Linked DNA regions of Rattus norvegicus. The protein of the gene in region 1 interacts with the protein of each later gene in a biochemical or structural test. Links are inferred from orthologs where the notes say so. Each region holds a gene or a part of one and is shown on either strand. Other genes may lie near its edges.

What was found.
Region 2: the proteins of Hdac3 (region 1) and Nr2c1 form a complex in vitro, tested with the Homo sapiens proteins (4 studies listed by BioGRID). The link is inferred for Rattus norvegicus from reciprocal best matches to the Homo sapiens genes HDAC3 and NR2C1.

Annotation. Positions count from the first base shown.
Region 1 is NC_086036.1:30,030,827-30,046,656, forward strand, and holds the start of Hdac3 (histone deacetylase 3), read right to left. Parts: upstream 10,200-15,830; 5' UTR 10,136-10,199; coding exon 10,081-10,135; intron 9,987-10,080; coding exon 9,904-9,986; intron 7,999-9,903; coding exon 7,856-7,998; intron 173-7,855; coding exon 91-172; intron 1-90. Other genes in the region: Rell2 (RELT-like protein 2), read left to right, coding at 11,602-11,785, 12,146-12,211, 12,306-12,372, 12,796-12,981, 13,228-13,600, 13,720-13,752; Fchsd1 (F-BAR and double SH3 domains protein 1), read right to left, coding at 14,798-14,863, 14,982-15,037. UniProt on the Homo sapiens protein: Histone deacetylase that catalyzes the deacetylation of lysine residues on the N-terminal part of the core histones (H2A, H2B, H3 and H4), and some other non-histone substrates.
Region 2 is NC_086025.1:30,594,622-30,610,451, reverse strand, and holds the start of Nr2c1 (nuclear receptor subfamily 2 group C member 1), read right to left. Parts: upstream 7,846-15,830; 5' UTR 7,686-7,845; intron 7,659-7,685; exon of another isoform or gene 7,223-7,658; intron 6,762-7,222; exon of another isoform or gene 6,658-6,761; intron 1-6,657. Other genes in the region: Fgd6 (FYVE, RhoGEF and PH domain-containing protein 6), read right to left, coding at 14,850-14,886. UniProt on the Homo sapiens protein: Orphan nuclear receptor. Binds the IR7 element in the promoter of its own gene in an autoregulatory negative feedback mechanism. Primarily repressor of a broad range of genes.

The DNA.
Region 1 (15,830 bases):
CCTCCCCTACCACTGGGTTCCAGGTCAAGACTCTGTGGTCCTGAATCTGGAAACCCACAGGAAACAGGACCAAGACTCGGGTTACATCACCTTGTTGTTTAGCTGTGTTGCCCCTTGCAGAGATGCGCCTGTATAGCGGGAGCAGAACTCGAAGAGCCCGGGAAACACAGGGCTGCAAGACAAAGAGTGGGGTTAATACCCCTCTTGTCGTTTTCCCCACCTTCCCCATCCAAATTCCAATGACCACTGTGTAACAACTCCCTACCCTCCTCCACACCAGAGCCACTTACAGACCCATTCAACAAAGATTTTGGACCAAATCTTGTGCTAAACCTCGTGCAAAACATGGTACAGGAAACCTAAGAATGTCTAACTGCCAGGGAGTTTGTACTCAACCTGGGAGCTAAGCAAACAGTTTTTTGGGGTGTACAAGAAATGTGAGGGAGCTAGCTGAAGGAGGAGGCTGGTTCATCACAGGAGGTGTCCGAGTGTGTCACATTTTCTCATGGTGTCCAATGACATTCTTTATGACTACTTTTTTTTGGAGACAGGTTTCTCTGTGTATCCTTGGCTGTCCTGGAACTCACTCTGTAAACCAGGATGGCCTCAAACTTGCCTCTGTTTCCCAAGTGCTGGGATTAAAGCCATGCGCCACCACTGCCTGGCTGCACACTTTAAAGACTGCATTCCTGTTTATGTGGAACACTAGCAATGAGACACCTAACTGAAAGCCGTCTGCTCACTGTCACCGCAGAAAGCTGTATGTCAGCTATATCAATTACCTGTTACACACTGCACAATTCCATTTATGTAACACTTGAGAAAAGACAAAATATAAGGACCAGATCAATAGTTGCTTGGGGCTAAGGTGAAGAGAAGGGGTGACTATATTTGTAGAGTAAAGGAAATATTCGGTACCCTCGTACTGTATCAAAACTCACAGAAACATGACACCTCGGATCTGGGAAGACAGCTTGGTCAGTTAAAGTGCTTGTGTTACAAGCAGGAGGACCTGAGTCAGTCCCAAAGCCCATGTAAAAAGGTCAAGTTTGGGGGCTGGGGATTTAGCTCAGTGGTAGAGCGCTTACCTAGGAAGCGCAAGGCCCTGGGTTCGGTCCCCAGCTCCAAAAAAAAAAGGTCAAGTTTGGTGGTTTATGCTTCTAATCCCAGCTGTGGAGAGGCAGTTTTAAGGGGGTGGCTGTCTAGTTCCAGGCCATTGAGAGACCTTGTTTAAAAAAATCAAGGTGGCAGCCAGCCGGTGGTGGCTCATGCCTTTAATCCCCGCATTCGATAAGACAGAGGCAGGTAGATCTCTGAGTTCGAGACTGGCCTTGTCTACAGAAAGAGTTCCAGGGCAGTGAGAACACAGAGAAACCCTGTCTAAGAAACAAAAACAAAACAAAAAAACTAAAAAATCAAAGTGAACAGGTGTAGTAGAACATGCCTTTAATCCCAACACTCTGGAGGCAGGCAGATCTCTGTAGGTTCAAGGCCAGCCAGCCTAGTCTACAAAGTGAGTCCCAGAACAGCTGATCTACAGAGATACTGTCAAAACAACAAAAACACAAACAGGGTGGATAGTACTTGAGAAGTGACACCAAACAGCTGCGGAGGCATACACACACCTTTATATATGAGTCCTTATGCACAAGCATGAGCAACAGGCGCACACACACACACACACACACACACACACACACACACACACAGAAACAGGATACCTTAAAAAGCTGAATTAGACTAAAAAATGGTTCAGCAATTAAAGCATCTCCCAGAAGACCCAAATTGTGTTCTCAGTACTCATATCAGACAGCTTATAACCACTTGTATGTAACTCCAGTTCCAAGGGATCCAAAATCCTTTTCTGGCCTTCATGAGTACCCTCATACATATGATATGTCATCACTCACATAGATATATACAAACTCATACATAAAAACAAATCCTCTTTTTAAAGTAAAATTACTGTACCTAGTTTTTAAAAATATTTTAAATAGGAACTGGGGAGATGACTTGTGGTTAACAACACTTGTTGCTTTTAAGAAGACCTGAGTTCAATTCCCAGCACCCACCTGTTGGCTCACAACCATCTGTAAACCCAGTTCCTAAAGATCTAACTAGCAACATGGTATACATACATGCAGGAGGGCAAAGCAGTCATATATAAAATAAAGCTTAAAGAGATTAATACTTTAACTATATCAAGCTTAAATTTTTAAAGACAATAGTACAGTATGCACATGACCAAACCCAAGGTACCACGATAAAAAAAAATAAATCCCTAGTTTTAGGTTTCAAAAAAGCCAGTACAGCCTACACCATCGAACACGTAAGTAAATATGATTGGGTAGTGTATTAGTAGCACAGTGGTAGAGTGCTTGCCTAGCATGCACAAAGCCTTTGGTTCAATTCCCAGGACTGCAAAAACAAGCAAACAAAAGTATAGGGAATTGTATGGTTTTTTTCAAAGGATTTTAAAAGAATTTGTGTTTGATAAGTAGAAAACTAAGCAAATTGAGAAAATAAGAATGTAATTATAAATTCTACTTAAAGTTATACAGAAAAATAGGTTAAATAATAGTACTATTTGGCAGCTAAATTATAATAATGTAAGCATAGATGGGCAGTGGATGTATATGCTCTTAATCACAGACCTTGGAAGGCAGAGGCTCGCAGATCTCTGTAAGTTCAAGGCCAGCCTGGACTACAGAGTGAGTTCTAATACAGCTGGGCTAAACAGAAACCCTGTCTCACAAAACCCAGAAAAAAAATTATTTAGTTAACTAATTAAATTAATTAATCATATAAGCACAGAAGACTGATTAATTTTAAAACATGAAGGCTGGGTGTGGTGGCAGACATCTTTAATCCTAGCATTCAGGACCAGAGGCAGGAAAATCTCTGTGAGTTTATAGCCAGACTGTCTCTAGAGCGTTCCAAAGCCAGCTAAGAATACACAGGGAGACCCTGTCTCAAAAATAAAATAAAGGGGTTGGGGATTTAGCTCAGTGGTTAGAGCGCTTGCCTAGGAGGCGCAAGGCCCTGGGTTCGGTCCCCAGCTCCGAAAAAAAAAAAAAAAAGAACCAAAAATAAATAAATAAATAAATAAATAAATAAATAAATAAATAAATAAAATAAATAAATAAAATAAAAATAAAAAAATAAAATGTTGAGGCTGGATGGAGTGGCTCACACCTATAACCATAGCATTCTGAAGTAGAGAAAGGAAGAGCAGGAGTTTAAGGTCATCCTTGGCTACACAACCTAGGTTCCAGAAGCCCTGCCTCTAAATAAATAAACAAATAAACAAACATAAAAATAAGGGGGTATCTGCCTAGGAAGCGCAAGGCCCTGGGTTCGATCCCCAGCTCCGAAAAAAAGAACCAAAAAAAAAAAAAAAAAAATAAGGGGGTATCAAGATGTCCTAGCAGATGGGAAAACTCACCACAAACACCGACGACCTGGATTTAATCTGTGAAACCCATAGGGGGACCTATTCCCACAGGCTGTCCCTCTGACCTCCAGGCATGTACCACCCCTCCAAAAATAAGCAAATAAATAAATGAGAAAATAAACTACCAAGTAAGTAAATACATTAATAATATAAACTGTGATATTACGCACTGTGAACTGGGACAGAAGGGGAGCATACTGGGATGGTATAGGAAAATGAATTGCTCAAACCACCACACCGCTTATTAGACAACACCTAAAATTGATAGAAGTAGCAACAGTAAGAGATGATACAGTAGAGAAGCATGAGTCAGAAGGCAGACAACCTACATTCACCCATGTAGTCGGGTGAGGTTGGGCAGTGAGCTCTGCCTCAGAATCCTTATCTGTCCAAAGGAGACTGTAGTAAACCTTGCTTGATAAGGGTTGTTGATGCTTAGAAGATGGCTGCAAAGCATTCAAAACACTACCTAGAGCATAGTAGGTATTATCCAAATACTACGGATTAGTAGGAGTTGCAACAATAAAGTAGTTTTATTATTTTGAGATGTAAAGATAAACACCATGGCAGGGCAGGGTGGCATGTGCCTTTAATCCTACCTAGCACACGGAAGTCAGGGGCCGATGAATCTCTTAAGTTTGAGGCCAGCCTGGTCTACAGAGCTAATTCCAGGACAGCCATGGCTACATAGCAAAGTCTCGGAAAATAAACAGACAAATAAATAAATGAAATAAATAAAATAAACACCAGAGAAATAGGTAAAAGTGGGAAGAGAGATTTATGGATGGAATAGGTCTGAAATTATTTTCCCCCAAATTATAATTTGACTATGAATATTGATTATTTATTTTTAAATTACAATTTACCTGGGCTGGTCTGGAACCTAACTTTGTAGACCAGACTAGCTTCAAATTATGGCAAGCCTCCTGCCCCAGGCTTCTCAGTTGGGATCAATATAGCCATCATATCAGGAAGCAACTTGAAATTAATTTTTAAAAAAAGGAAGAAAAAAAAAATTCGCTTCTCCTCTGAAACACAGAACCCATAAGCACAGCTATAGTTTACGCTGCTGGAATGACAGGGATCTCGAAGCCCAGAGGCAGTGTTCCCTCACTTCCCAAGAACAGTTACAGGGCTCCAGCTGCGGCCTGCGGGCTGACTCTGCATTCTCAGACCTGGAAACTAAACTGGGAGAAAAAGCCTAAGTGAATTTTTAAAAAAAGAAGAGGAAGAGGAGGAAAGAAGAAAGAGGGAGAGGAGGAGGAAGAAGAGGAGGAGAAGGAGGAGGTTGAAGAAGAGGAGGGGTCGGCGGTGGCGCTGAACACCTTTGATCCAAGCAAGCCCTCAGGAGACAGAGGCAGATGGAGCTCTGTGAATTAGAGGCCAACCCTGTCTACAGAGTGAGTTCCAGGACAGCTAGGGCTACAGAGAAACCCTGTCTCAAAAAAACAAGACAAAGGGAAGAAGAAGAAGAAAGAAAAGGAAACTGTCCAAGACTGTATGTAACTCAACACCAAATGAGTGGCACACCATGCACAGGGCAGAGCTCTATGGGCCAAGGCTGCCAAGAAAGCTTTATGCCGAGCCAAGCAGTGACACCTACCTGGGATCCCAGTACTGAGAAGCTGAGGTGGGAAAACCACCAGTTCACTGATGACACAGACTACATAAAAGGATTCTGTCTTGAAAAACAAAACAAGACAAGGAAACAAAGAGGGAGGGGACATCTGGAGAGATGACTCGGCTGATAAGGTGCTTGTTAACTCTTCTGGAGGATCTGCACTCAGTGTTAGCACCCACATTAGGAGACACAAAACCACCTGTAACTCCACTGCTGGGGAATCCAATGACCTCTTCAGACCCCTATAGTGTCAGCACATGTGGTACACACACACACACACACAGAGTAAAATTGTTTTAAGGAAAAGAAAAGGGAAATGAGAAACCGAATGGAAGTGGTGTGTGGAAGCTGAGAAGGCTTTAAACAGGCTATGTGGAGAGCCTAGGGCACCCCCACTCTGTGGGAGTGAGGTCTGAGTATCAGGAGGAAAGTGTTCAGGGCAGCTTAAGGAGCTGGCCTTTATCCTACAGCCAGGACTACTCCATTAGTCGCTCACTCAGTAAAACAGATTAGGAAATCCATTTACAAACCTAGCTCTGTTCTAATCTACTTTCAGGATCACAAGTTCAAGGCTAGCCTGCGGCCATGTGGCATGACTTTATCTTAAAACAAACAAGAAACCTAGGTTCCGGAACTGAGTCCTACTGCATCCACTCATCAGTTGTGACTCAAGCTAAACTACTAAATTTCCCCATACCTCCATTTACTTAGGTGTAACCCCAGGAAAAAGGCTATTATTGTCCAGTGTTGCTATGAAAATTGACTACATGTATTTGCAACCCTCAGCATCATGCGTAATAGGGTCCCTACCCTCAACAAACAGGATTGTAGGAAACAACGAAGAGGACCAACAACCTCATTTCTTCAAAAAGTAAATTCAAAGGTGAGAGAAAAATGACACATTAAGTCTCAGGAGACCATATGAATGTGTAAACCTTGTTTGGATCCTAATTTAAATAAGATATATCATGCACACATACATATACTCTCTCTCTCTCTCTCTCTCTCTCTCTCTCTCTCTCTCTCACACACACACACACACACAGAGAGAGAGAGAGAGAGAGAGAGAGAGAGAGAAACACAGAGATAGAAAAGAAGAGAAATGGACATATTTAAATACCAATTGCATTTTTCATTAAAGAAAAATGATTAACTTTTTAGGTCTGATGCTGATATTTTTAAGAGTATCACTTAGAGATACATAATAAAATATTTATGGATTAGAGTATGTGGATCTTGGATTTGTTTTAAAATCATGTGACATGGGGTGATACAAATAACTTAAGACTGCCCAGATATGGAAGAATGTGCCAGAATCGCGGCACTTGGGAGGCTAAGACAGGATGATTCCAAGTTCAAGGCCAGAATTTACTACCTAATGAGGCCCGGTCTCACCAGAAATAAAGAAAAAAAGGCTTAGCATTTATGCTGGGTAAGGAATGTACTCAGATTTACTACTCTTCTGCTTTCAAAAATGTTTGATTTTCCCTAATGATAAACTTAAACAGTGTCCACTATGCTGGGGCATGCCTTTAGTCATGGAATTGAAGGGGCAGGTGGATCTCTGTTAAGTTTGAAGCCAGCCTGGTCTACATAGGGAGTTTCAGACCAGCCAGGGCTGGAAAGTGAGGTCCCTGTCTCATAGGTAAATAAATAAATAAGAAAATAAAACCAACAGTATTGAGTTTTCCATAGCTATTATGCTTATTAGTGTTTTACTTTTTTAAACTAAATAAATGTATTTATTTATGTATATAAGTGCTCTATTTGCATGTCTGACTGCATGCCAAAAGAGGGCATCAGATCTCATTACAGATGGTTGTGAGTCACCATGTGAGTGCTAGGAATTGAACTCAGGTCCTCTGGAAAAACAGCCAGTGCTTTTAACCACTGAGACATCTGTCTAAGCCAATACCTTTATTATTTTTCACTAATGTACCCTGGAGTGTTAGCAAGGCTTGTGGCTCATTTTTGTTAGCCATTCTCCAGCATCCCAACCCTGAGTCTTCTGCCTACAATAAATACAAGCTCCGTGTTAACCTGGTCTGATTAGGGGTGATGTAGCTTATAAGCAGAAAGTCGAGTATCATGTACAAAGGACAGGATTCAATTCTTAGTATCATTAAACAAAAATATTCAAAAAGAATCATGTCAAATCATTCCTATAGGAACAAAACCACTGATTTAATGCATAGCTGTTTACTTCAAATACAAACAGAACAAAAACAGGGTCTCACTAAATAATGTAGGCTGGCCCTGAACTAATAACTTTCTTGCTTCTACCTAAGTGCCAGGATTACAGATGGGAGGCGCCTCAGGCCTTAAGCTTTAAAAAGGCCCCCACCCATCTCCTCAGGCTCTCACTCTCCTGTTTATTTCTGGATGGTGTTTCTGGTACTCCTCAGAGAAGTCATGTTCCACCCTAGCACAGCCCTTTAGCACACACTGTCCCTCCTACTCAAGTTCCTCCCTCTCCTTCCAGCCATCTTTCAGACCTCAACTCAATCTCTACCACTGCACTTAAGACCAGCCCTGCCCCAAGGCTGGATAACTCTTCCAAGTCCACACGCAGTTGTGGACTTCTTCACAGGGCTTTGCAAGGTAGAATATTAAAACTTTGTCATTTTCTCTCACCATCGTATCCCTCATACGTAGCCTGACTGGGATAGAACAAATGACTAGCAGGCATTCACTGAACAAACGAATGAATGAATGAATTCACCGACGCCTCCATGAAGGGCCCAGCCTCCCAGTGATTGACAACCCCATCCTGCCCTCACCAGTCGTCACCCACGTTGAAGGCATTAAGGCTCTTGGTGAAACCCTGCATATTGGTGGGGCTGACTCTCTGCAGGAAGTCAATGTAGTCCTCAGAATGGAAGCGGCACATGTCATGCTGGGAGGCCTGGTAAGGCTTGAAGACCTGGGGGAGACAAATAGGAAGCTGTTACCTGAGAACTGCCTAGGTGCTAGCTCAGCCCCAGAAGGGTGGGTGATGAACTAGGTAAGACCTTACTTAATTATAATCCCACCTAAATGCTGAAGGGCATTCCCAATACCACAACAGGTGACAACTGCCATGGAAACAAGTGGAAACCAAAAAAGGAAAGGGGTTGGTTTCTGAATTCTCAGAAATTTTCTGCTCAGTCTCAGAAAACACACAGACACACACACACAGACACACACACACACACACACACACACACACACACGGCTTTTCTTTATCATCAGTCTCTCTCCCTCATTTTTTACCCTGTATCTATAAATTCTTTTCTAATTAAAATTTTTCCTATATTAAAGTCAGGGTGTCAGTTCTCTGCTTTGGTCATTGGAGGTTCAGAGTTCAGACTTGGGCCATCATCCGCCTCAGAGGCAGGCACCTTCACCCACTGAACCATCACTGCAACCCGACTGATAGCTATAACCTGTTGATCTGTGTGAGCTGAGATGTTATCTCCTGAGAACAAAAGTCCGTTTCACTGCTCCTTTAACACATGGTCTTGTTACTGGCTCCACACAATGCCAGGAAGGGAAAAAAAAAAAAGATTCAGTTTGGAAGTTTGGACAAAGAAACCTGGCAACAGGCTAGGCAATGCTATGCCAGTCACCAGGCTGAAACCACTCACAGGGATCCCAGCCCTGGACACTGTCCAAAGCAATCTTCCTGCCCCCCTATTCCTTCTTCTACAGCAACTCGATGAGTGAAAAAAAAGGCTACCTGCTAGGCAAGCTACTTTTATCAAGATCCCTGAAGAGCACTTCATCTCCCTCTTCCCTTCAGCCCAGTCAGTCTCATCTACCTTCTTGGCCTTGGCTCCCAGCCTACTTGCTCTGGTCCTAGTTCCTGCTCTTCCAGGCCTGGTTCCTTCTGCACTTATCTCTTCTCCTAAACTCTGATTCTGCTCTGTTCTCTGGGTTTTTCACTGTGGGGTAAAATATGTGAGCTATATGACAACCTAACTGAAACCCGATGTCCTAACCAAAGATTTATTATCCTTGGGGAAGGGGGGCAAGATGGAGGTTCAAACAATACTTTGAAAATTGGGCAAAAAAAAACAAACGCTTTTTTTTTCTCTTCTAGAAAACGCATAAAAGACCACACAGACTTATACTAACATCACCTCAGTCTTTCCCACTCCCAAACATTCTGCCTGTACCTCAACACACTGATTATATGTTGACTACCTTCCTGGTGCACCAGGGTCAGGCTTGCTATTTTCCCATTTCACAGTTCTAAGCTGCGGAGAAACAGTACCTGCATAACTGAATTGAACCGTAAAGACAGATATAATCTACGTTAAAAAGCAAAGCCCCAAGATATCTCTACACACATACACCACAAAGGGTGCAGAGTTGTTCTAGCTCCTAGCAGGTAAATGGGCAGAGGAGAAGGAGCAGGGATTATGGGCAAAATAGACTCCCACCTCTCACCACTGTCTACCTTACAATGCAGACTAGAAATGTACTGCAGTAACAGAGCACTCACCTAGCATATGTAAAGCTCTGGGTTTGACCCAACAACACATACATAAAATGAAGTGGTGATGGAACATACCTGTCTTTAAAATGTCCCCTAATGCTAGGCCAAAGACTGGTCTGCCCTCAAGTTAAAAGAGAATCCCACCTAAGGTCAAAAACGTATCTCCTTTTAAGTCTGGGGTGTCACTACCACCACCACCACTGCCCTGCACATAGGGAATGTTTCCGGTGCCTTCTCCCCTTCTCCCCCTCCTCTAGACGTAGGTTGCACCTGGTAAGTCCAGCCCACCTAGTCTAAGGCCGCTGCTCGCTCCCAGGCCCAAACCCCTACAGAAGTGTCAAGACTCACGATCATCTTCTTATAGAGACCATAATGCAGGACTAGGCTATGAGTCAATGCCAGGCGATGGGGTTTCATCGGGTGTCCAGCTCCTGAGGGTGGGAAGAAAAGAGTTGGTCGGTCCCTACCCCTAGAGTTGCAGCCCTTGCCGCAAAACCTCTCCTCCCGCACAATCCTGAGCCCTACCGTAGTGGAAGTTGCCCACATCGGGGTCGTAGAAATACGCCACGGTCTTGGCCATGGTGCTGGGGGACCAGGCCCCGACTCAGCCGCCCGCCCGCCGCCGGACGCCAGCCCCACCCCCGCCGTGCGTGCTGCGCAAGCACGCCGCCTACCTCTGCAGAACTGGAGCCCTCGGCCCCGCCTCCCAAGGCTAGGCTTTGGCCACGCCCCCTTGGGGAGTTCCGCCCCTCATTATGCTGCCCTGGTCCGGTTTCCGAGGCTTGAGACTTGGAACCTGGACGGGGACCCGTGGCATCATTCAGAGAATAAAATAGCCGCTTCTTTCGGGGCGAGGGTCATATCCTCAGTAAACCGAGCCATTCCGTCCAGCTGTTACCCTCAAACGGGTCTTGGGGTCGTGATTTCTCTCTAGGAACCTCGGAAGATCTGGCAACACTGCCCTTCTCTGGTGCAGAAAGCCAAATTTCCCCCAGTGAACTAGGAAGATTGCTGGCTTTCCCAGTCGTCTGGGTAATCTGAGGGCAGGACCTGTACTAGACGTGAGGGCTAGACTGGTGGCCAAAGCCTCTCCTGACCTCCCGACCCTCGCTCGACTCGCGCTGCACATTCCCTCCGGGGGGGGGGAGGAAGGGCGGTGCAGTCACGCGCACATCTCACTTGCGTTCACACACGCGTAAGGCTCACATACTCCGCCCCGCACACCTGCGCTCCGCCCCTTGGTCCCAGGCCCGCAACGCGAGTAGGCATTTGGGAACCCAGGACGGTTTCGGAGGTGCCCCCATCCCCGCCCCCATCCCCTCCATTTCCCTGGCCGGAGTGGTCCGGAGCCTGTCGCGGTTCCCAACTGGCCCACATCATTCCCTCCCCCCGTCTGCCGCGGCACCGGTATCCGCAGCCACCAGCCCGGAACCGGTGAGGCGGCAAAGGGGGGAGGGGGAAGAAGCAAGGGATGAGCTCCGGGAGGGCGTCGGGGGCCCTGAGCCGGACGAGGACGCCCCTGGAGCCGGGACCCGAGCCGGAGCCGGAGCCGGAGACAGAACCAAACCACCGGTACCGGGTGAGCCAGGTGGTCGGGGTGGGAGGAACCGAAAAAGAAGGGATCCCGGAATGCAAGTGTTGGGGGGGGGGGGTGCATGATGCCTGGCTCAGGCCAGTGTAGAGGAGGTGTAGACACTGACTCAAGCGAGATGTCTGGGCTCGCTGCCTAAGAATTTCGCCCCATCTCGTGCTGCAGTGTCCTTGGGAGGGACGGAGGCGTGGAATGAGCTGTAAAAGATAGCGGTCTAGATATCAGAGAAGTGGGACCGGTCGTGGCAGAGGGCCTGCATAGCTGCCATCTGGCCTCCAACATTTGGAGATCTTGGCCGACCAGCACCCTTAGTCCGGACAGCTCCTTGGTTGGGTAGGGGGTGGGGCGGGCCTCCTATTTCGAATCCTAAGACGCCTTCCTACTCTGCCCGGTCCCCAGCTGCAGCCCACTAAACCCAGGAGGCGCCCTGGCCCGCGCTCGCCCCCCAGGGCCTCATGTCGGAACCACAGCCTGGCCTGGAGCCGCCCCAACATGGGCTGTACATGCTCTTCCTGCTTGTGCTGGTCTTCTTCCTCATGGGCCTTGTAGGCTTCATGATCTGCCACGTGCTCAAGAAGAAAGGCTACCGCTGTCGCACATCTAGGGGCTCAGAGCCTGATGATGCCCAGCTCCAGCCCCGTGAGTGAGGAGCCTAGAGCCCTGATTAAGTCTCCCTTACCCTTCTCCCCAAACTTTTTTCTGCCTCCCTGGCCACAGACCCAGCCCAAATCCTGATGAAGTCCAAAAGATAGCTTATGATGCATTTTTGAGTCTGCATGTAGAGTGGCTCCACCCTGAATCAGAGGCTAGAGAAAGGGGTCCACTCATGGTAGCACCAGAAACCCATTTCTTCTCCTACTTTTTCTGGCCTGATGCATTAAGGCACATAGCTATGTAAAGGGATATGTCTTGAGCTATATCGTCCATGAGGCCATCAGGTCATGATACCCCAAAGCTGACTCATTTCCCGCTTCCTTGCCAACTTCTTTCATCCTTCAGCTGAAGACGATGACGTGAATGAGGACACAGTAGAGCGGATTGTTCGCTGCATCATCCAAAATGAAGGTGGGTATAGGCCAACAGCTTACTCCTTCCTAAACTGACTTTCTCTTGCCCTGACCTCTACCTCCATTGACTCCCTCTTCTCCCTCTCCATCAGCCAATGCTGAGGCCTTGAAGGAGATGCTAGGGGACAGTGAAGGAGAAGGGACGGTACAGCTCTCCAGGTGAGCTGGAGACAAGGGCCAGCATGACTTAGCTTACCTTGGAGTGCTGTCTCCTCTAATACAGTCTTTCCAAGCACCATGGGAAGTTTGGTAGTGGTAGTGGGGTAAGGTGAACAAGGCTAACTGACCTATGAAAGAAGTTCTGTAGGAATCTTTTATCCTTCAGTGTCTCCCATCTAGACACCATCCAGCCTAGCATACACCTCTGGTGTCACTTCCTTTGGTTAAGCATTGGTCTCTTTAGTAAACAGGAAGAACACATGACTATTTGGGACTTAACAGTGAATTTATTAAAGACAAAGGGATGTTGGAACCTGGGGAAGGTGGGGTTTGTGGAGGTTTAAAGAGCATATTGAAAGAACAGGAGGAACCAGGAAGGAAATTGAAAATATTGTTTCTGCTCCCTTCCCTCCTGTGGACCAGTGTGGATGCCACCTCCAGCCTGCAGGATGGAGCCCCTTCTCATCATCACACAGTACACCTTGGCTCTGCAGCTCCTTGCATCCACTGCAGCCGCAGCAAGAGGCCCCCACTTGTCCGCCAGGGTCGCTCTAAGGAAGGAAAAGGCCGCCCAAGACCTGGAGAGACCACTGTATTCTCAGTGGGCAGGTGGGGATATAGTGGTCCAAGAAAAGAGGTTAAATTGGGGCCCCGATAATCCTGTCCCCCAAGGTGGGGCCCAGCTCTTTCTTTGAACAACTGGGCGACTACAGCAAGGGTCAGGCTGCACAGTGTCCCACAGTCTCAGAAGGCTTCCCTACCCCAGGTCACAGAAACTGCCATCAAACCCAGGGAGGGAGGTTTAGGGAGCCTCTGAGCTGCAGGCCTGAGTTGCAATGTTCTCTTCCCACCCAGATTCCGAGTGACACACATTGAGAAGCGCTATGGCCTTCATGAACACCGTGATGGTTCCCCTACAGACAGAAGCTGGGGCTCTGGTGGAGGACAGGAACCAGGGGTTAGTCAGGTGGCTGGAGGGCAGCCTAGGACAGGGACAGCTGCCATTGAGAGGCTGCTCCCTGAGCCACCACCCTCCCAGGCCGCAGCCACCCACCCAGTGCAGAATGGAAGACTCAAGGATGCCAGCCTAGTCCCTTGTACACTTGAGGGGACCCCTGGTACCTCTGCAGAACTGAACGTGGGCACTAGAGGGACAGGCCCAAGCCCAGGGCTGCCTAGTCAAGAAGCAAATGGACAGCCAACCAAACTGGACACCTCAGGTCAGCAGGTATGAAGACATGGTCAGGGCTGCGCTGGGCAGTGGTGGACACATCTTACGGTTCCTACTCTGGGCAACATGGATATGATCCACCTCCTGTTCCCACTGAATACCTCCCCTTCTCTCAGGACTCTCTACCACCAGAAGCAGGGGGTATGTGAGGCGAGTCTCCCTGAGCTCGAGATCAGGTAATCTCACCCTCCCACCCTGTGTCTAAACTACTCGAGTCCACCAACTCCCTGAACCCTGGGGGTGAACTATATGTTTAGTGTGTGGGGAGTGGGCACAGATGTCCTCCAGGAGTTAAATAAGTGGCTGGAGCACAGAACTTGACTAGGAAGCAACACTCTTTTCCTTTCTTTCTTCCAAGCCTCAGTCTTCACTGTGCTGATGGATTACCAGCAGGCATTGCCAGGGGACAGCCAGCCAGGAAGACTCTCCCCTCCGCTGGCCAGCTCTGCCGCTCAGCTGAGGGACCAGCTCTACTTCATCTGGAGATGGTCCTGACTGAGGGACCTCAGGAGGAGCCCCTCGCACTTCCTGGCCCCTCATCTTTTCCCTTTCCCCACCTGCCAACAGGTTGCCTGGCCTGCCTTCCCCAAAACCTCGCTCCACATGCTAGAGCGTGGCAGCTGGGACCAGGCCCTACCCTCGGTGGGCCCCTAAAGCAATAGCACCTTAGGCTCCCTGCCGTCTTGGCACAAGAGGCCCAAGCCCTGTCTTGGACTTCATACCCTTTATTCACTGTCAATAAATCCGCTCAGACCATTACAGTTGCTTTGCATCCTGGCTCAGCTCCTTCTGACTTCCAAAGTCCTCTCCTGGCCCCAGGCCTACTGACCCTGACATTCAGGGTGGGGTTGACCACAGAGGCCGGGTGAAGACACAGATGAGCCAGAGCCATGCAAGGCTTTGGGAGATGGGTTCCAGCCCCGAAGATTTTGTGGTGTTTTACCACCTTAGATATGGGGTGATAGCACAAAGTCAAAGGGGTACTTCCAGAAATGGCAGGAGAACAATACGGGGAGGGTGTGGGTTCAAATCCCAGAAATGGGAACAGGGTAAATTTCTACCCCCGGAGGTGAGAATGGACATCGGGGAAGACTGCAGCTTTTGCTTATGTCGCTCCAGACCATTGAGGGGGTGGCTTCTGTCAGCATGGAGTCAGGGGCAGCAGCATCACCGAAGGGCAGTGACTCCTGGCCTTCAAGTGAGAGGATCGGGATGACCAGGATCCGGGGCTTTGGCTGGTGGGGGAGGTGGTGGACGCATCTGCAGGGGACATGCATAATCAGTGCTCCGGAATCTGTCTTAGGAATAGCCCTGTCCATTACTTCAGCCCAGCAAACAAAATAAGGCCATAGGAATGACCCAAGTCAGGGCACCTTACCGGCCTGAGTCGAGGCACCATCATGTCTAGGGGTCCAGGGCAGTCTATGACTTTGTCTAGAAATAGAAACCAAAAGTCAATTCTCAAGCTTTGATGGGCTCCATACTGCATCTCCAGCACTTAGGGTAGTGATACTTTATAAATACTTGTTGACTTAGCCAAAAGAAAAAAAAATCACCAGCCTGAGCTATAAAATCCATTAGTCCATCCATTCTCAACAAATACTTAATGCACAATTGCCTTGTACAAAGTACCCAAGAAACGGGGTGGAGTGCAAATTCTCTATTGAGAATCCCGTAATATCACACACAGACACACAGAGACAGAGAGACAGGGAGACAGAGGCAGAGAGACGGAGACAGAGAGGGAATGCCCAAGTACTAAATTATTCAAGTGCAAAAGGAATGCTAGAAGAGATGGTGGTGGCCCTGGACTCAGGGAGGGTGACTGAGAAGGTGGGCATACTAGAATATCTTAGAAAGGCTGAGTATTTGATGGTGGGAAATAGGGACTGGGTCTGTGGACATAAGTTAGTGGTAGATATGTGTGCCTAGCATGAACACGATCCTAGTTTGATCCCCAGCACCCACAAGAAAATAACCCAATAGATAAGCATCGTAATAGATAAGAGGAAACAGCCCCAAGATGAGTACTGTATTTCAGTACTGAAGGACACTAAGAGGAAAACACACTTTGGGAGGCTATAAGAATGCAGAGAGAAAAGGTAGCAAACTTCAAAAACACTAATGATCTAAAACAGCCATGTTTACTGTATGCTAGCACAGTGCTGTACACTTTTTTTTTTCTTTTTTTTTTTTTTTGGAGCTGGGGACCGAACCCAGGGCCTTG
Region 2 (15,830 bases), on another chromosome or scaffold:
CTTTGAACTTGCTATGAAGCTAAGGCTGACCATGAACTGTAACTCTCCTGCCTCCACCTAAGTATCGGGATTACAGGCAAGTGCCAACGCAGTCTGCAGACCGTTGATGGCTTAAAACGAGTCTGCCTTCCCAGGAGAGTAGTTTGCCGCCGTACGTCAAAACCTGAAATTGCTCAAGTCAGAGTTTCAAGTTCATGGTCGGCCTGTTACAGATGCTAGAATTCAGAGTTGTAATCCTGACTCTAACGGCGACTAAATGCATAGTTTATTTTATAATACCCTTCAGGCACTTAACCTGAGGCTGCTTCTTCAGGATAAGACAGCCAACATCATCTCTCTGAGAGGTTAAAGAGTGGGTAAGTGGATAAGTGTATCGAATAGTCCCTGACAGGCAGTAAGCGTTCCATGTACGTTCCACGTAGCAGAATGAACGCAGTGCTCACTAAGTGAGCAAAAGGACACAGAACACATTGAAGACGTAGGGAAAGCTCACACAAGAGACGACTAAATTAGTCACTGAAGGGTCATGCATTTTTACTGGCCTGAGGCAGAAAGCAAAAAGCTCGAGGAAGAGGGCTGGAGAGGACGCTCAGAGGGTAAGAGCGATGGCTGCTTTTCCAGACGACCTGAGCTGGATTCCCGACACCCCCGTGGTAGCTCGCAATTGGCTGTAACTCCAGTTCCGGGGACCCAACACCCCCTCTGGTCTCTGTAGGCATGAAGCATGCACACGGTACACAGGCATAGATGCAGACGACGTAGCCACATAAATTATAGAACATCAAATGTCAAAAGTGTTAGGATAGTCCCCTTACTACTTCAGAGTTAAGAACCTTGGTCACAACCGAACACATCCGCTAGCCCCCACCTCTTCATCCTTTCCACACAAATGGTATAATTAACAGAACCTCCTAGCTTATTAAACTGTGGGTCTCTACCCCCCATTCAAAATTATGCAGTGGCCAACACAGGAGTCAGCACATACCTGGCAACAGTAAAAGGACTTTTAAATGTGTAATGACCAAAATTCAATTCGGAATCAAATACCCAGTAAATCCAAGGTGTCACTGACAGCACAGGTCCATCCGTCCACGTTGTATGGAACCATGCCACTGAGATTTTATTTTTCTTTTTTAAATTTTATTTAATATATGAGTCTTCTGTTGCATATACATCCTCAGGCCAGAAGAGGGCATCAGATCTCATTACAGATGGTTGTGAGCCACCATGTGGTTGCTGGGAATTGAACTCAGGACTTTGGAAGGGCAGGCAGCTCTTAACCACTGAGCCATCTTACCAGCTCTCACTGAAATCTTTTTGTAAAACACAGAACGTGTGCATTTTGACATGACTGTGTATACTGTCATAACACAGGACACCATGGACTCTGCCTGACACATGTCAGCTTAGACTACTGAGTGCCATGAATTTCCTTCCCCCCATATAAATGTTTCTGTTTTTACAGAAACATAATGGTATAATTACATAAAACCATAATGTAATTATTTGTAATTATAAAAAAATTTTCAAATATTTTCCTACCATCTTTCGATAGCATCTAATTATCAAATTAGTACTGAGGTAGTTTGGAGAATGGCCCCTATAGGCTCCTATGTTTGAATACTTGGTCCCCAGTTGGTGGAGTTGTTTGGAAAGATTAGCAGATGTGATCTTGTTGGAGGAGGTGTGTCTCTGGGGAAGGTTTTGAGGTTTCAAAAGCTCATGCAATTTCCAGTTAGGTCTTGTGTGCGCACTCTCCCTCTCTCTCTGCCTTCTGGTTGCTGTCTGTCTTAGTCAGGGCTCTCTAGTCAGAGAACTTATGGGTGGGCTCTACACAGTAAGGGAATTTGTAGTCCAATTCCCCAACTATGCTCAGCAGCAGATGTGAATGGAAGTCCGAGGATCCAGCAGTTGCTCAGTCCCACAAGGCAAGCGGGCAAAGCAGAGAGAATCTTCCTTCTTCCAGTGTCCTTACGTAGGTCTCCAGCAGAAGGTGTGGCCCAGACTAAAGGTGTGTACCACTACGCCTGGATCTGGGACTTGCTCTGTCCCAGGTGACCTTGAACTCAGATCTCCTTGCCTTAGTCTCCAGGGATTCATGGCCACTTTGCCTCAAGATCTCCATGCCAAGATCCAGGTCAGAAACTGTGTCTCCCAGCCTCAAGATCAGGATCAATTCCAGATTGTAGTTCATTCCAGATGTAGTCAAGCTGACAACCAGGAATAGCCACAACACTGTCTTAACATGTAAACTTCCAGTCACTACCCCAGTATCGGATGGTCATAGACGTTAGCTCCCTGAAACTGTGAACCCCCAGATTACATACTGTTATAAATTGCCTTGGCCATGGTTGTCACGGCAATAGGAAAATAGGATGAATACATTACTGGATTGTATTAATTATTGCATAATTTTCTGGAGAGATGGTTCAGCAGTTACCAACATGTACTGTTTTTGCAGAAGACTAGGGTTCAGCTCCCAGCACTCATATCAGGTAGCTCAAAACCTTCTGTAACTCCAGAGATCTGACACCTTCTGGTCAGACACCTGCACTTAAGTGTATTCCCCTCAACATATACACATATGACTAATTTTTTTATTGTAATTAAGTATGCATGTATAGGTTTTTCAAGACATGGTTTCTCTGTGTAGCCATGACTGTTCTGGAATTCCCTTTGTAGGTCAGGCTGGCTTTGACCTCAGAGAACTCTACCTACCTCTGCCTCCACCCTGTGTGCTGGGATTAAAGGAGCATCCATCATACTCGTACAATATATTTTGTTCATAATTTCCCTCTCCCAATGCCTCTCCACTTCCCTACCCACCTAATTTTATACTCTTTCTTCTCTTTCTTTAAAACAAAGAAGAAAACAAGAAACATACATACACACAAAAGACCCTCCCACCCCCCAAAAAACCCGCAAAAACAGAAATAAAAATAAGTAGCGAAAGGGCAGGAAGACAGAAAGTGCCCAGGCGACAGAAAAATGTCACTGAGTTCATGTTGTGTTGGGCGTGGCACCAGCCTGGAGGTGAGACTCCACTGGAGACGGGAATTTACCACAGATAACATCTTGTTCAGGGGTGGGAATCTGTGAGCGCTCCCTGCTCAGTGCTGGGACCAATCTGTTTTGAGCCTGCACAGGCCTTGTGCTTGGTGACCGGTCCCTTGAGCAACATTCCTCAACCATCACTGCTCTCTCTCTCTCTCTCTCTCTCTCTCTCTCTCTCTCTCTCTCTCTCTCTCTGTGTGTGTGTGTGTGTGTGTGTTTTAAATTATTTATTTTGATTTTTAGAGACAGGGTTTCTCTGTGTAATCCTGACCATCCAGGAACTTGCTTTGTAGACCAGGCTGGCTACACACTCAGAGATCCCCCTGCCTCTGACTCCCAAATGCTGGGATTAAAGGCGTCACCACCACTGCCCAGCTATAAACAGCATTTTAAAAAGTTAAGCACAAGTGTAATTTCATAAACTAAAGCTAGCGTTTATTATAAGCAATATTCACTTGTTTCGAGGACAACACTGTTTCTCAGTTATGGATCACTGTTTTTTTTAACAAAATCTCAATCATTTGATTTTACCAATGAAGGCTCGGGAGCCAGATGCTTGGTTGAAAGCCCGTTGGATCAGAGGCAGAGAAAGCAGCCAGCTGACCTCGGCTGATATCCCAACAGCAATGCCCCTCTCCCAAGCTGTCTCAAAAAACCTCCTTCAACTGAATGTCCCTCCCTTCTACTTCCTGTGCGTCTCTTTATCCGTCCTCCTGACTCTTACTAAATTTTTTCCTTAGTGATCCTATGTCCACTTCCTGTCAACTGATTGCTTGCTCTGCCTCTCGACCTATGGTTGGAGTTATTTAGCCCCGTTTATAATATTCCAGCAGAATGCTCTTGAATTAAAGGTATGCATGCTAGGGCTGAGCCACACTCAACTAAAAACAGGTTTTTCCAGTAAATAACACAATCTCAGGGTTCATGGTGTGATCCAGTATCTTCCAACAAGGGATAATTGTCTAACTCTTTCCAGGCGGGTTACAGAACAACCAAACTGATGAGAAAAAAAATTAAGTCAAATCGTCTTTGCAATATAGATTTATTTCTAATAATCATGATGATGTGAAAATAAATAAATAAAAAAGCCCCTTGGCTTGATATTTACTGAGGCTTTGGCTATTAGAGAACATGAAAGGGGCTGAGTTGACACCGTAATAAGCAGGCAGCACACTGCAATGAACCAAAAAAGTATTTCTTTTTTTTTTTTTTTTTTTGGTTCTTTTTTTGGAGCTGGGGACCGAACCCAGGGCCTTGCGCTTCCTAGGCCAGCGCTCTAACCACTGAGCTAAATCCCCAACCCCCAAAAAAGTATTTCTTAAATATTCCTAAAACTGTCCAACGGAAGGGGAGAGAAAGCTCCGGACACTTCTTGCCATCAGCGGAAAACGTTCATTTGTATCCTACAAAGATTCCCATTTAACTGCAAAACCTGTGTGTGTGTGTACACGTACAGGGGGTGTGTGGTCTGTTACAACGACCAGGCCAGTGATGGATTTCCTAAGATTTCCTCATTGAAGGGCGCTCCTTCTGACAGAAGTTCCAGAATTGATGTGGCCACTTCTATCCCTTTATTGGCAGGTTTAAGGGAAGTAATTCAGCAAGATGCCCCAACTAGCATTCTGTCGCAGTACAGGTGGCGTATTTGAAAATCTGCTTTGTTGCCCTGGGGGGCGGGGCACATAATCTGGGAAGGTATTAATCTTAACATCAATGTTTTTCTTTTAAACAAATGCAGGTTCACAGCTAAAAGGTCTCATTAAGTTTCTGCGTAGACGTTGACGGGGGAAATTATATGAGAGGATGTTGACTTGTGACAGAATTTAAAGTTCTGTAGAAACAAAAGTCCCTTTACTCAATGAATGATCCGTCGGGAGGCACCTGTGGCCAGAAAGTCTCAAGAGAGTTGTGCTTGGCAGGACGGAAGCTGTGCTCTGCCCTCGGTTTTCCTACCCTGGCAAACAGACTCAGCTCACGGAGCCCCTCAGCGTGCAGAGGTGGCTAAGACAATAAGTGCTTTTGAGTGATGCTAACAACTGTTCGACCTTTGACTCCCCTCATGTTGGAGAGTTTTAAGAAACATGCAAAATACTCTCTTGGTTTATTGCAGTGTGTTTGAAGGCTACTGAAATTATAGGATGACGTTGTATCTTGGTGGGACAGAAATCTGATTTGATTAGGTTTTTTTTTCCCATAATGACTTATGGCTCTCAAAATTGCTTTTTGTCAGGTATTTTTTGAAGTATTCAATGATTTAAACATATTGCTTCAAGGAAGTAACTGTAATATATTTATGTTAAAAGGTAAAATTGAAAGTTTTACTAAAATAATAGCTACCGTGGAAAAACAGGGTGAAAACCGGTTCTTTGGAGGTGTTTACAGTAGAGATGACTTTATAATTGAAAATGACTTCCTTAGGCAGAAAAGATGGCTCAAGGGTTAAGAGCCTAAATTCTGTTCCTCTACCCATATGGTGGCTCTCTATACCATGTAACTCCAGTTACAGAGGATCTCAAAACCTCCTCTGGCCCCCGACGGCACAGTACTCTTGTGGTAGACAGATATACATGCGGGCAAAACACCCACCCAGAAAGTCACAAGTTCATGTTCCTTTACACCAAATACTATCCATTAAATATCAAGGTTTACAAAGCCTGCAGTCAGTCCAAGGAATTCCCTACTTAGGAATCCCAGAGGCGAACTTTTAGCAGTTTATCACACTAAACAGAAACCAGCTTCTGCAGCACACATCTTTTCTACCACACTTGTTCTACCTGACCTCTGAGACCCAGCTCAAATTCCATTCTACCCACCATTTCTGAATGATCCGCTGTATACTGTATGCAGCAAGAGTTAGCTGGGATTTAAGGACTGACTTCCATGGTTTCTATTAATTCTTAAAACTTTCCAACAGAGGCCCATTTTTCTAGAGATGGTTTTTAAAGGTTTGTGGGTGTGTACACACACACACACACACACACACACACACACACACACGATCTTATAGTGAGTGCTATATGTTTGAATTACACACTTCATCACACCCACAGTAGATATTCAGGCTTTGTTGCCTTGAATCAATCCCCTTCAAGACCCTTTTCTTTCCTTTTTAAAGATTATTTATTATATATAAGTACACTGTAGCTATCTGCAGACACACCAGAAGAGGGCATCAGATCTCATTAAGATGGTTGTGAGCCACCATGTGGTTGCTGGGATTTGAACTCAGGACCACTGGAAGAGCAGTCAGAACTACTGAGCCATCTCTCCAGCCCCCTTTAAAACCTTTCAACTGAAAGCGTTACACAGAATAATGAAATCGGTTACATTTATTGTCGCCATATGTTTTGTTTGTGATGGATGCAAGTATCAAGTATCTTCTTTAATCAGTGGAAGCAACATTAAGACAGCTTTTGAAAGCAGAGTTAGGAGGCTACAAGGGAACAGTACAGAAGCTCTAACCTGGAAACAGGAATTCTGGTCACTGCCACCCTTTGACTATAGGTCTCTGGAACTACGCAAGTAGAAAAATTACATTGTATCCAAAGATTCAAGATGCACACCAAAAGGTTACTGGACATATTGATACAAAGGACATAGTACCTTTCCTTTATCTTCCATACGTCTTCTGGGGTTTGGATACATGGTTTCCAAGCCAGTCTCGCCAAGAACTCCAGGTGACCTTTGCTGCTTTAGCCTCCTGAGTACTGGGATTATAGGGTTTGCGTCACCAGCCTGGCTCCTTCCTACAGGTCATCCAGCCTCTGTTCTTTCTCAATATCAAATGGTCCACAATAAACTCCCACTTTTCTCACCTTCCTCGAATCTCCTCTAATGTACTTGAATTTCTGCCCTCCAAACTACAACTCCCAGGACACCCTCCCTGAACAATTTTCCTTTTCATCTTTGCTGTGTGATTAGAACAGATCAATAATCTCTTTCCAAATTTACTAAAGTGGATACATAAAGTTTAAAGACAATTTCCCAACCGGGTAAACACACAGACACTTTTAAAAACAAAGAAAAACCCCTCCCTCGAAGTCTAAGACATACTAACAACTTTAAGCCGGTGAGAAAAGCCCCAAACGGATTTAACTTCAAGTCTAAATTGCTTGTCCTTCCCAGCTTAGGCTGACTGACCCTGCTTAACTCAGGGGTAGGGGACAACCTGGTAATATCTGCACATCGGGAGACATTATCTGAAGAAACTGGTGGCAGGGCTCCTAACAAAAGAGCTAGTGGAAGCTTTGATGTGCCCAGTGCATGAGATAGCCCTAGGCCACCTTCCCTCAAAGATACAGCCGCAGCAGATGCTGGTCCTCTTCGGGCAAGCAGGATCCTAAGCGGGCGGAGGTGTCATCCCGCAACCCAAGGGTACATGGCCCCTCGGGTCCCGCGCCCCGCAGCTCCCTCCCCTGCACCTACCACGCGCGCAGCCCCGGGGCGGGGGAAGCGGCGCCGATACGGAAGCGTTCCCTGTGGGTGAAAGGTCACCGTCCCCGCCCGGCCTCCCGCGGCATTGAGCTGTCCGCTACCACCCGGCACTCGGGTAACCGGGAGCTGGGACACTTGGGGACACGGGCGCTCGGGCCACGACGCTTGGCGGTTGGGCCGCCCAGCACCCGACTTACCCCTCCCGCCGTGGCGGCCGCTGGGCTGGAGAGAGCAGAGGCGAGGGGACCCGAGGCCAAGGGGACAGGAGAGCTTTCTGGGTTTGTGTATTTGGGGGTGGGGGTCAGAGTTCGTGACCCCACCCTCGGCTTGGCGGTGCGCGGTGCTCTTGGCGCCTGCGCATTAGCGCGGTGGAGAAGCGGCCGGCCGTGGTGACGTTCCCTGGGCGAAGCCGAGGGCCCGGGAGTCCAGCGGCGGTTCTGTTAGTCGATTGCCCCCTGCAGGTGTGGAGGGAGACCGCCGCCGCCGCCGCCGCTGCGTGTCCACCCGATGTCTTGTGTGAAGAGCGTCTAGTTCTTCCAAAACCTGCAACTCTGGTGCCAGGGCCTCTGCGGGCTCGTGATCCCAAGTGCACATACCCAAACACACGTAATTAGAAGTCAAAGACACCCGAGGGCTAGTGAGATGGCTCAATGGTTAAGAATACTTGTGGCTCCTCCAGAGAACACGGTTTGATTCCCAGTACCCACATGGTCTTCTGAAACTTCAGTTCTACTGGATTTGGTGCCCTCTTCTGGTGCACAAACATGTGCAGGTCGAACACCCTATACTAAAAAAAGTAAAACTTTTTTCTCTTTTTTAAAAAAGATGTGTTTACTTATAATACACTGTAGCTGTCTTCAGACCTACCAGAAGAGGGCATCAGATCTCATTAAGATGGTTGTGAGCCACCATGTGGGTGCTGGAATTTGAACTCAGGACCTCTGGAAGAGCAGTCAGTGCTCTTAACCACTGAGCCATCTCTCCAGCCCCAAAGTAGAACTACTGAAAGAAAAAAAAAAGGAAGGAAGGAAGGCCTGAAGAAAAGACAAGTCTTTTGGAACAGGGCCTGTTGAAACCCAGACTGGTCTTTTAACTCGTGATTCTCCTGCCTCCCTCTCTGGTGCTATAAGATTTTTTAAAAATCCCTTTATATGGGTGTTTTACATGCATATATGCCTGGTACACTGCAGGTGCGCCTGGTTCAGGTGGAGGCCATCAGATCTTCTGGATCTGAAGTCACAGATGGTTTTTTAGTGGCCACATGGGTGCTTGGAATTTAACCTCTACAAGAGCAGCCAATGCGCTTTTAACAGCTGAGCCATCTCTCCTGCCCCTTAAAGGAAGTTTTGATTTGAGAAATAATAAACAACCTAATTGGTCTGGACTTCATTATGGGCACTCTCTTAGATTAGGTCACCAGAGCTAAAGAGTCTGCAGAGGGGTAACAGGACCCAGGAAAGAACACCCTGACCCTGACTTAACCCAAGTGTAAGACCTTGTCCCAGAGTCTGATCACAGAGGATTGGATCGCACCAATCCTCAAGCTTTTGCCAACATCAGGCCACATAATTCTCCAACTGCAGGCCACCCTGAAAAGCCCCACACCCCAAGAAACCCTATATAAAGCCCATTTTCTGCTTAGTTCCCTGAAGTGTCTCAAAGAGGCAGACATCGTCCTTGGTTTTTCCTTCCCAGTAAATCTTGAGTGAGGTTTGTTGTGTGGTGTGGATGTGACTTTGTAGTGTTCCTTGGCGCACAGCTGGCAGGCTGTACCATATTTGAAGAACCTTTCCCGTGCCAGAGCAGAGCTATAACACAGTCTGTGTAGACCCCAATCACATAGAACTTCCCAGCAATACAAGAACAGGCTCAGGCAAAATGGAGTCAAATTTTACCTGGCTGCTTTCAGAGCAAGGCCACAACCACTACCGTGACCTTATGTTCCTTTTGTCCATTTTGCTGGACGATGTGTCCCCAGATAGTTAACAGTTCCCGCTGGTCAATAAAGATCTGCAAAACGAAAGGTCACTACCAGAACATCACATTCTGACAGTGGTCACCTGTGGCTGGAAACTCTGGTCACATGTTAGGTACTGTGTGGTTCAGACTTTGAGGTGATCTGGAACTTTTCTTTGCATCGAGATTAAACACTGTAGAAAAGCAGCCCGGTCCAAGGCAGAAACTGAAGTTAGGGGTTGGGGTGGGGAAACTTTTTTTTTTGTGCTAGGTAGAATAGTTGTCCCTTAAGGTCCCATTGCCTCATGCCTATAACCTTAGCACTTGGGAAGTAAAGCAGGAGGAACAGGAGCTCGGTCAGTTTGAAGCTAGCCTGGGCTGCATCTCTAAGAAAACATTGCCATTTCTCTTTGGAGTTGAGTATTTAGACCTAGAAGGAGGACTTGCAACAGCCTCCCCTAGCAGTTAGAACTGTTTCACACTTAGTTCTCTGAAAGTCTGCCTCTGCCTTTTAGTACTGCTTGGTTTGCCCGTAACGCAGCCTTTCCAATAACCTCAAGCTGGGCCCAGAGGTGAACACGATGAAAGCCAGGTTGGAGGGAACAGGGGAACTCACTACGTTTTCCTTATTCTCGACTCAATACACATGCCCAAAGGCACGCTGTGGTTACCAGGGTGACCACTCACCTCCAGTTCATGAACTTAAGTCACAAGATGCTGACGTCTTAAAATCGGGCGCAGTGGTTGATGCTTGAAATACTAGTACTCGGTAGGCCCAGGCAGGGAGATTGTTATGAATATTTGGCGAGCCTGTCTCAAAGGCAACCATATGAATAAATCAGTCCTGGAAACAGAAGCGGCTTTTAGAGGATTGCTCCAGGTGACGTGTCTCTCTTGGTCACACTCTAGAATAAGGGGCCAGTGAGGTTCATCTTAAAGGTAAGGCTTGGAAGACTTTGTCAGAGGGGGTCTGGGGGTCACATGCCCATAATCACAGTTGCTAAGGAGGATGAGGTGGAGAGTCTGAACGCTGAGGGCCACCCTGGACTGCACGGCATCAACACATGAGCACAACCCCAAACGTCTAATAACGAACTCCACACCAGCAGTAGATATCACAGTGCATTTATTTTGTATGAATTATAATACATATTAACATTATTTACAATGCTATTTTATTTATAAAATTTCTTATGAACAGTAAGATACAAACCATGATCACTTTATGTTTAAAAAAAGTGTTTTGAGAATTAAAAGTGATTAATTTCTTTTCTGAAATTGGTTCTTACATGCAGCAAATAACTCCATGAAAGAGAAAAACAAAATACTTTGATATTTAGTCTTTTAAAAGCTCCCACCACCTTTAAACTTATTTTCCTAGCAGGCAAATTCCCATCAGAACCACTGCTGTCTTTGCTGTTTCCTTTCTTAAAATTCCTTCCCAGTAGTAACTGACTTTTCCTGTAAGAGAAAACACTATGGATTTGCATTTAGAAAGTAAAATTAAAAGTGACGTACACTCCAGAGCATGGGTACCGAAGATACTTTTTTGGGACCCATTGAAGATATTTAACTCAGCAGGCAAACATTTATTCACTGCACGGAAGACAGTTGTTGGATGTGGGCGACCTCCAGTGAACAAGGTAAAATGTTTTCAAGGACAGAATTTGGTAAGAAGGACAACACTGTTTAGTGATCACAGGAAGCCAAGGAAGAGAGCTCGGATAGTCTAACAGAGAGGAGAACAGGACCCTATCACTGGGAAGTGTCACAGAACAATGGGCAGAGCTGGGCTGACTGATATGAGGACAATGGGAATGGTAGGAACAGAAAAAGGCTGAAGCCAGCCAAACCACTCAGAATGCCCTGAAGCTCACAGGAATAGCAACTAAATCAGAATTCTGCTGTACGCAGATTGCTTTGATATGTCTAAAGGAGACTACACAAAAGGGGGTTAAAACCAAGAAGAAAAAAAAAAGCTAGTTGCTTTCCTGGATAAGGGCTTGAATCCGGGGCCTCATCCATGGTAGCAAGTGTGTGCCACTGTGGCTCAGAGGGAAAGGCGTGGCACCCATAAGGGGCAGAAGAATGAAGACGGTAAGGACAAGAGAGACTCAGTCAGGTTCCAGAGTCCAGGTGGAGTCCTGAAGGAAACAGGCAGGGAGAAAGCTGAGCCCTAGTCTTGCCATGACTGTGGGCTTGCAGGACGGTGAGGAACGTGGGCCTATGACCTGGGTTGGAAGGGCTTTGGAGACTACGTCAGTGGTAGCTGACTGAGTTAGGCAGGGTGACACCCTGAGGGGGAGGCAGCAGGAGCTGTCTTGGGAAAAACAGTGAGATTCTTACTCAAGGCAAAACACCTTGGGAATTCTGCCTTCAATGTATTCAACTAAAGCTGCGAAGATCCCTTAGAAACGCACAGATTATATATGGTGTCTATCCTTAAGGATCCAGGAGTACACTGAGGTAGGATTTGCTTATGGAAATTCCAGCATTTTGACTATAATGAGCCCAGCGGAAGGGCATTTAAGGCATAACCGCACATGGTGATGACACTATGTTCTCACATAGGAGGCTCCTCCATTCCTACATAGCCTCTACGTATCCGGCAGACAAAAACATACTTCTGAGTTGTTTCCTTCAGTGCCATTCCATTGTTATAAATCAAAGCGGGATGTCGGACAGCGTTTAAAAAAACATCAGTCTGTACTCAGAGTCATGCTTCTTACTGGGGAAAAAACAAGGGCCGTCAGGGAAAACAGACCGAGACTGGTTACATCAGAAAACAGAAAGAGGTTCAGAAACAGGATAATGTGACCAATGTTCCTTTTCCTTCTCTTAGGAATTGGGGGGCGCGGTGGGGTGCCATCCTCTATTTTAGCTGCTGCAGACAGAGGAGGAATACTGTTGGGGACACTGAGAATGTCCCCTCTCCCAGCTCAGCCTGCCATCTTGTCTCCGTTACTTTCTGGCTTAGGGTAGGAGACACCGGAGCCGGGGTCTGGTGGCAGCACACGCATGTGTAATGAGCAGCATTCCGGGATCCAGGAGAGAGATGTTCTCCACATCTAGACTGCCCCGGCACCATTTGTCCATAAATGTTAGCAATGGGGCAAGCTCAGGGGTAGAGTATCTGCATTGAGTCCCTGGGTTCAGTGATATTTTTTTAAAGTAGTTTTACAACAAATTATAAATATGTTCTTATCAAATGCCATTGAATGAGCCATGTTAAATACATGGTTGGCAGTCCTTAGTGGTTTATGAAGGGATCAGGGGACAGGGAACACAATCTTACATTTAGAATGTCTTACGGGAGGGGTCACGATCTGAGAGCTCATATGCTGCCTTTTGCAAAGTTCTTCATAAGACTAAGCAAATATAATCACACACGGATTTCTACACCTCTCTCTCTCTCTCTCTCTCTCTCTCTCTCTCTCTCTGTATGTGTGTACAGATTTTGAATACTTTCTTGATTCTGTTGTGTGTTAGAAAACAGAAGACCTAGTTAATGTTTCTTAGACTTTTTTGAGGCTTACAAGAAAGAACATTTTAACGAGGTTGAGAATTCAACACAAAAGATAGAAATATAAAGTAAAAGGAGTCCTGTCTCCAAAAAGAGTGCATTACAAACGTTACGCGGATGCTCATGTGGGATCCAATTAAAATATGTTCCGAAGAACTAATTTGCTTCCTGTGGCCAGGAAGGTAGCATGTAGCATTCTGTGAAACTGTACGGGGCTTCAAACTGTGCTGTAGCCAGCGACATCCAAGAAAACCTGGACCTGCTACATCTAGGTCTATTTAATCTGCAGCGAATGGCATCCAAAAGGCCTTGTGATGGTGTTCAGGATAAAAACAAAATAGTATTCAGATTATAATTCTCTACTACTGACATCGCACTAAGAACCATGATGAGGCAGAAAATTCTTATAGCCTTTAATAGGATATTTTCTGTATAACCCTGCCTTGTAGCTGACAGTTTAAACTCAGTCAACAAAATATTTAAACACTGACACAATTTTAAGCATAACTTCCTTCTCCTGCTGCTTATCAACACATGCAAGAGGGTGTGCGTGTTAAACAGTAAGTATGCCAGAATTAGGAATGCAGACCTTTCCTATCGAGGGACGCTGACTGATAAGGTCCGTGTGGTAGCACACATCTAAATAGGATGTGAGGCAGGGCGGTGAGCATCAGGCCGGCCTGGGCTGCACTGAAGGACTGTGTCTCAAGACAGAGGGAGGGAGAAGGGTGGGAGGGAGGGAAGGAAGAAGAGGAGGAGGAAGAGAAGGAGGAGGAGGAATAGGAAGAAGAAAAAGAAAAAAAGATGACATTTAAAATGTTAAGGGGAACAAATCAAAGTAGCATAAAATTTCCTTTAAAAATAGTTGTTTTAGATCACTTGTAAAGTACATGTTACAGAAAATGTGACATCCTTTTAGATATAAATACCACCACTGACTTGGCATCAAAACTCTTAAAAATAATAGAGGGTATTAGGTAACATGTTACCTGCCATAGTCTGTGTCTTAAAACATTAATCACTGAGCTTAGTGGCACACACATGTAATTCTAGCAGTTGAGAAGCGTGAGTCACAGGCTGGCATGGGTTACACAAGTTCCAGGCCAACGTGAGTGTCTGTCACTCCCATTGGCACTGAACTGGCAGTTTTCGATGAAGGCTGGGCATGGAGGGGCAGGACTGTGACTCCAGTTACTTAGAGGCTGAGGCAGGAAGGCTGTGTGCGGCTCAAGCTTTGCCTAAGCTACACAGTTAGTTCGAGGCCAGCCTGGCCATTGGCGAGCCCTTATGGGGTGTGGGAGTTTGGGGGGCTGTGGACAAAGTTGTCAGTACTGACCCTGCTGGGATTTCATTTCACAGTTACTGAGGTAGAAGCTGCCTCTGTGCCTCACTACTGCAATATAAAAAAAATCCCACCTAGGCTTAGCAACTCAACAATACGCATTTCATCAGAGATTTTAAAACTGTAATTTCTACACCAAGCATTGCATGGACACTTGTGTCTTAAGCCCTGTGCTTTACTCGTAAAGATTTACCAACAGTGAAAGCGTCATGGTGTAAGGCAGAGACAACAGTGTGGACGGCACGTCGGCGACAGTATGCAGGATACAGTATTACGGTAAGTTCCCGGTCTCTAAACAGTACTTCAGAATTCAGTGTGAGTCTTGGAAACAGCTCTAACCAACGAGTAAACATCAACATTTTAATAAATAACAAACATGAAAGACATTTTTAGGAACTGTATATACCTAACAAAACACTCTATCTCACAACGACGGTGGGTGGACTTGTCTTGGCAGTGTTCGTTTTCACACGGCTTTTGAGTAGCTTTTATGCCATTCTCCACCTTGTTGGAACCTCAGAGGCAGTGCAGTCAGTGTGGCTATAATACTGTGCCCTCCTGAAATGCGTCTATCCACCTGGTGATGAGAGACAGCTGTTAGGCCTGAGAATTCAGCTGTGTGACACCTGTGAGTGTGTCACTTAGGACCTCTGCTACAGTACACGGGAGTTCTTACACACAGTTAGCTAACCTTTACTTGGTAATCTAAGCCAATGTTTCCCCCGGAGAGTGCTTTCTTTGTGACATTACTAGCTCATGTGTGAATGTTCTAACATGTCCTAGAATCAGTGAGAAGGCACAGTAGGTAAAGATGCTTGCCACCAAGCATGACAACCCGAGTTTAGGGTCCCTGGGACCTACTTGGTGGAAGTTGGAAACTTGCTCCTGCAGACTATCCTCTTGCCCCCACACTAACGCCATTTTGGAACACACACACAGTAAAGGAATGTTAAGCATTTGTGTATGTGTGTGTTTGAATGTGTGTGTATGTATATACGAGTGTGTGTTTGAGTATGTGTGTATATGTGTGTATGTATATGTGTGTGTTGAGTATGTGTGTATATGTACATGTGTGTATGTATATGTGTGTTGAGTATGCCTGTATATGTACATGTGTGTGAATAAGTGTGTATATGTGTGTGTATGTACATGTGTGTGAGTATGTATGTATATGTGTGTGTTGAGTATGTGTGTATATGTGTGTCTGAGTGTGTGTTGAGTATATGTGTGTATATATATATGCCTGAGTATGTGTGTGTGTGTGTATGAATATGTGAGTGTATGTATGTATATGTGAGTGTGTGCTTGAGTGTGTGCGTGTGCATGTACATGTGTGTATTTACTTGCCTATGGAAGAGGTATGCCAACAAAGGCCCTTATTACAACTCCTTTTCTCTCTCTCAGGTGTCCTGACTCAGTGAGTTTTGGAAACTAGCTATGGTTTTGTTTTTCCTCTCAATTCTACCAACCAAAACTCCCTTGTAAATCCCTTAAAACAAACTTGTTCTACATTTCTCAATG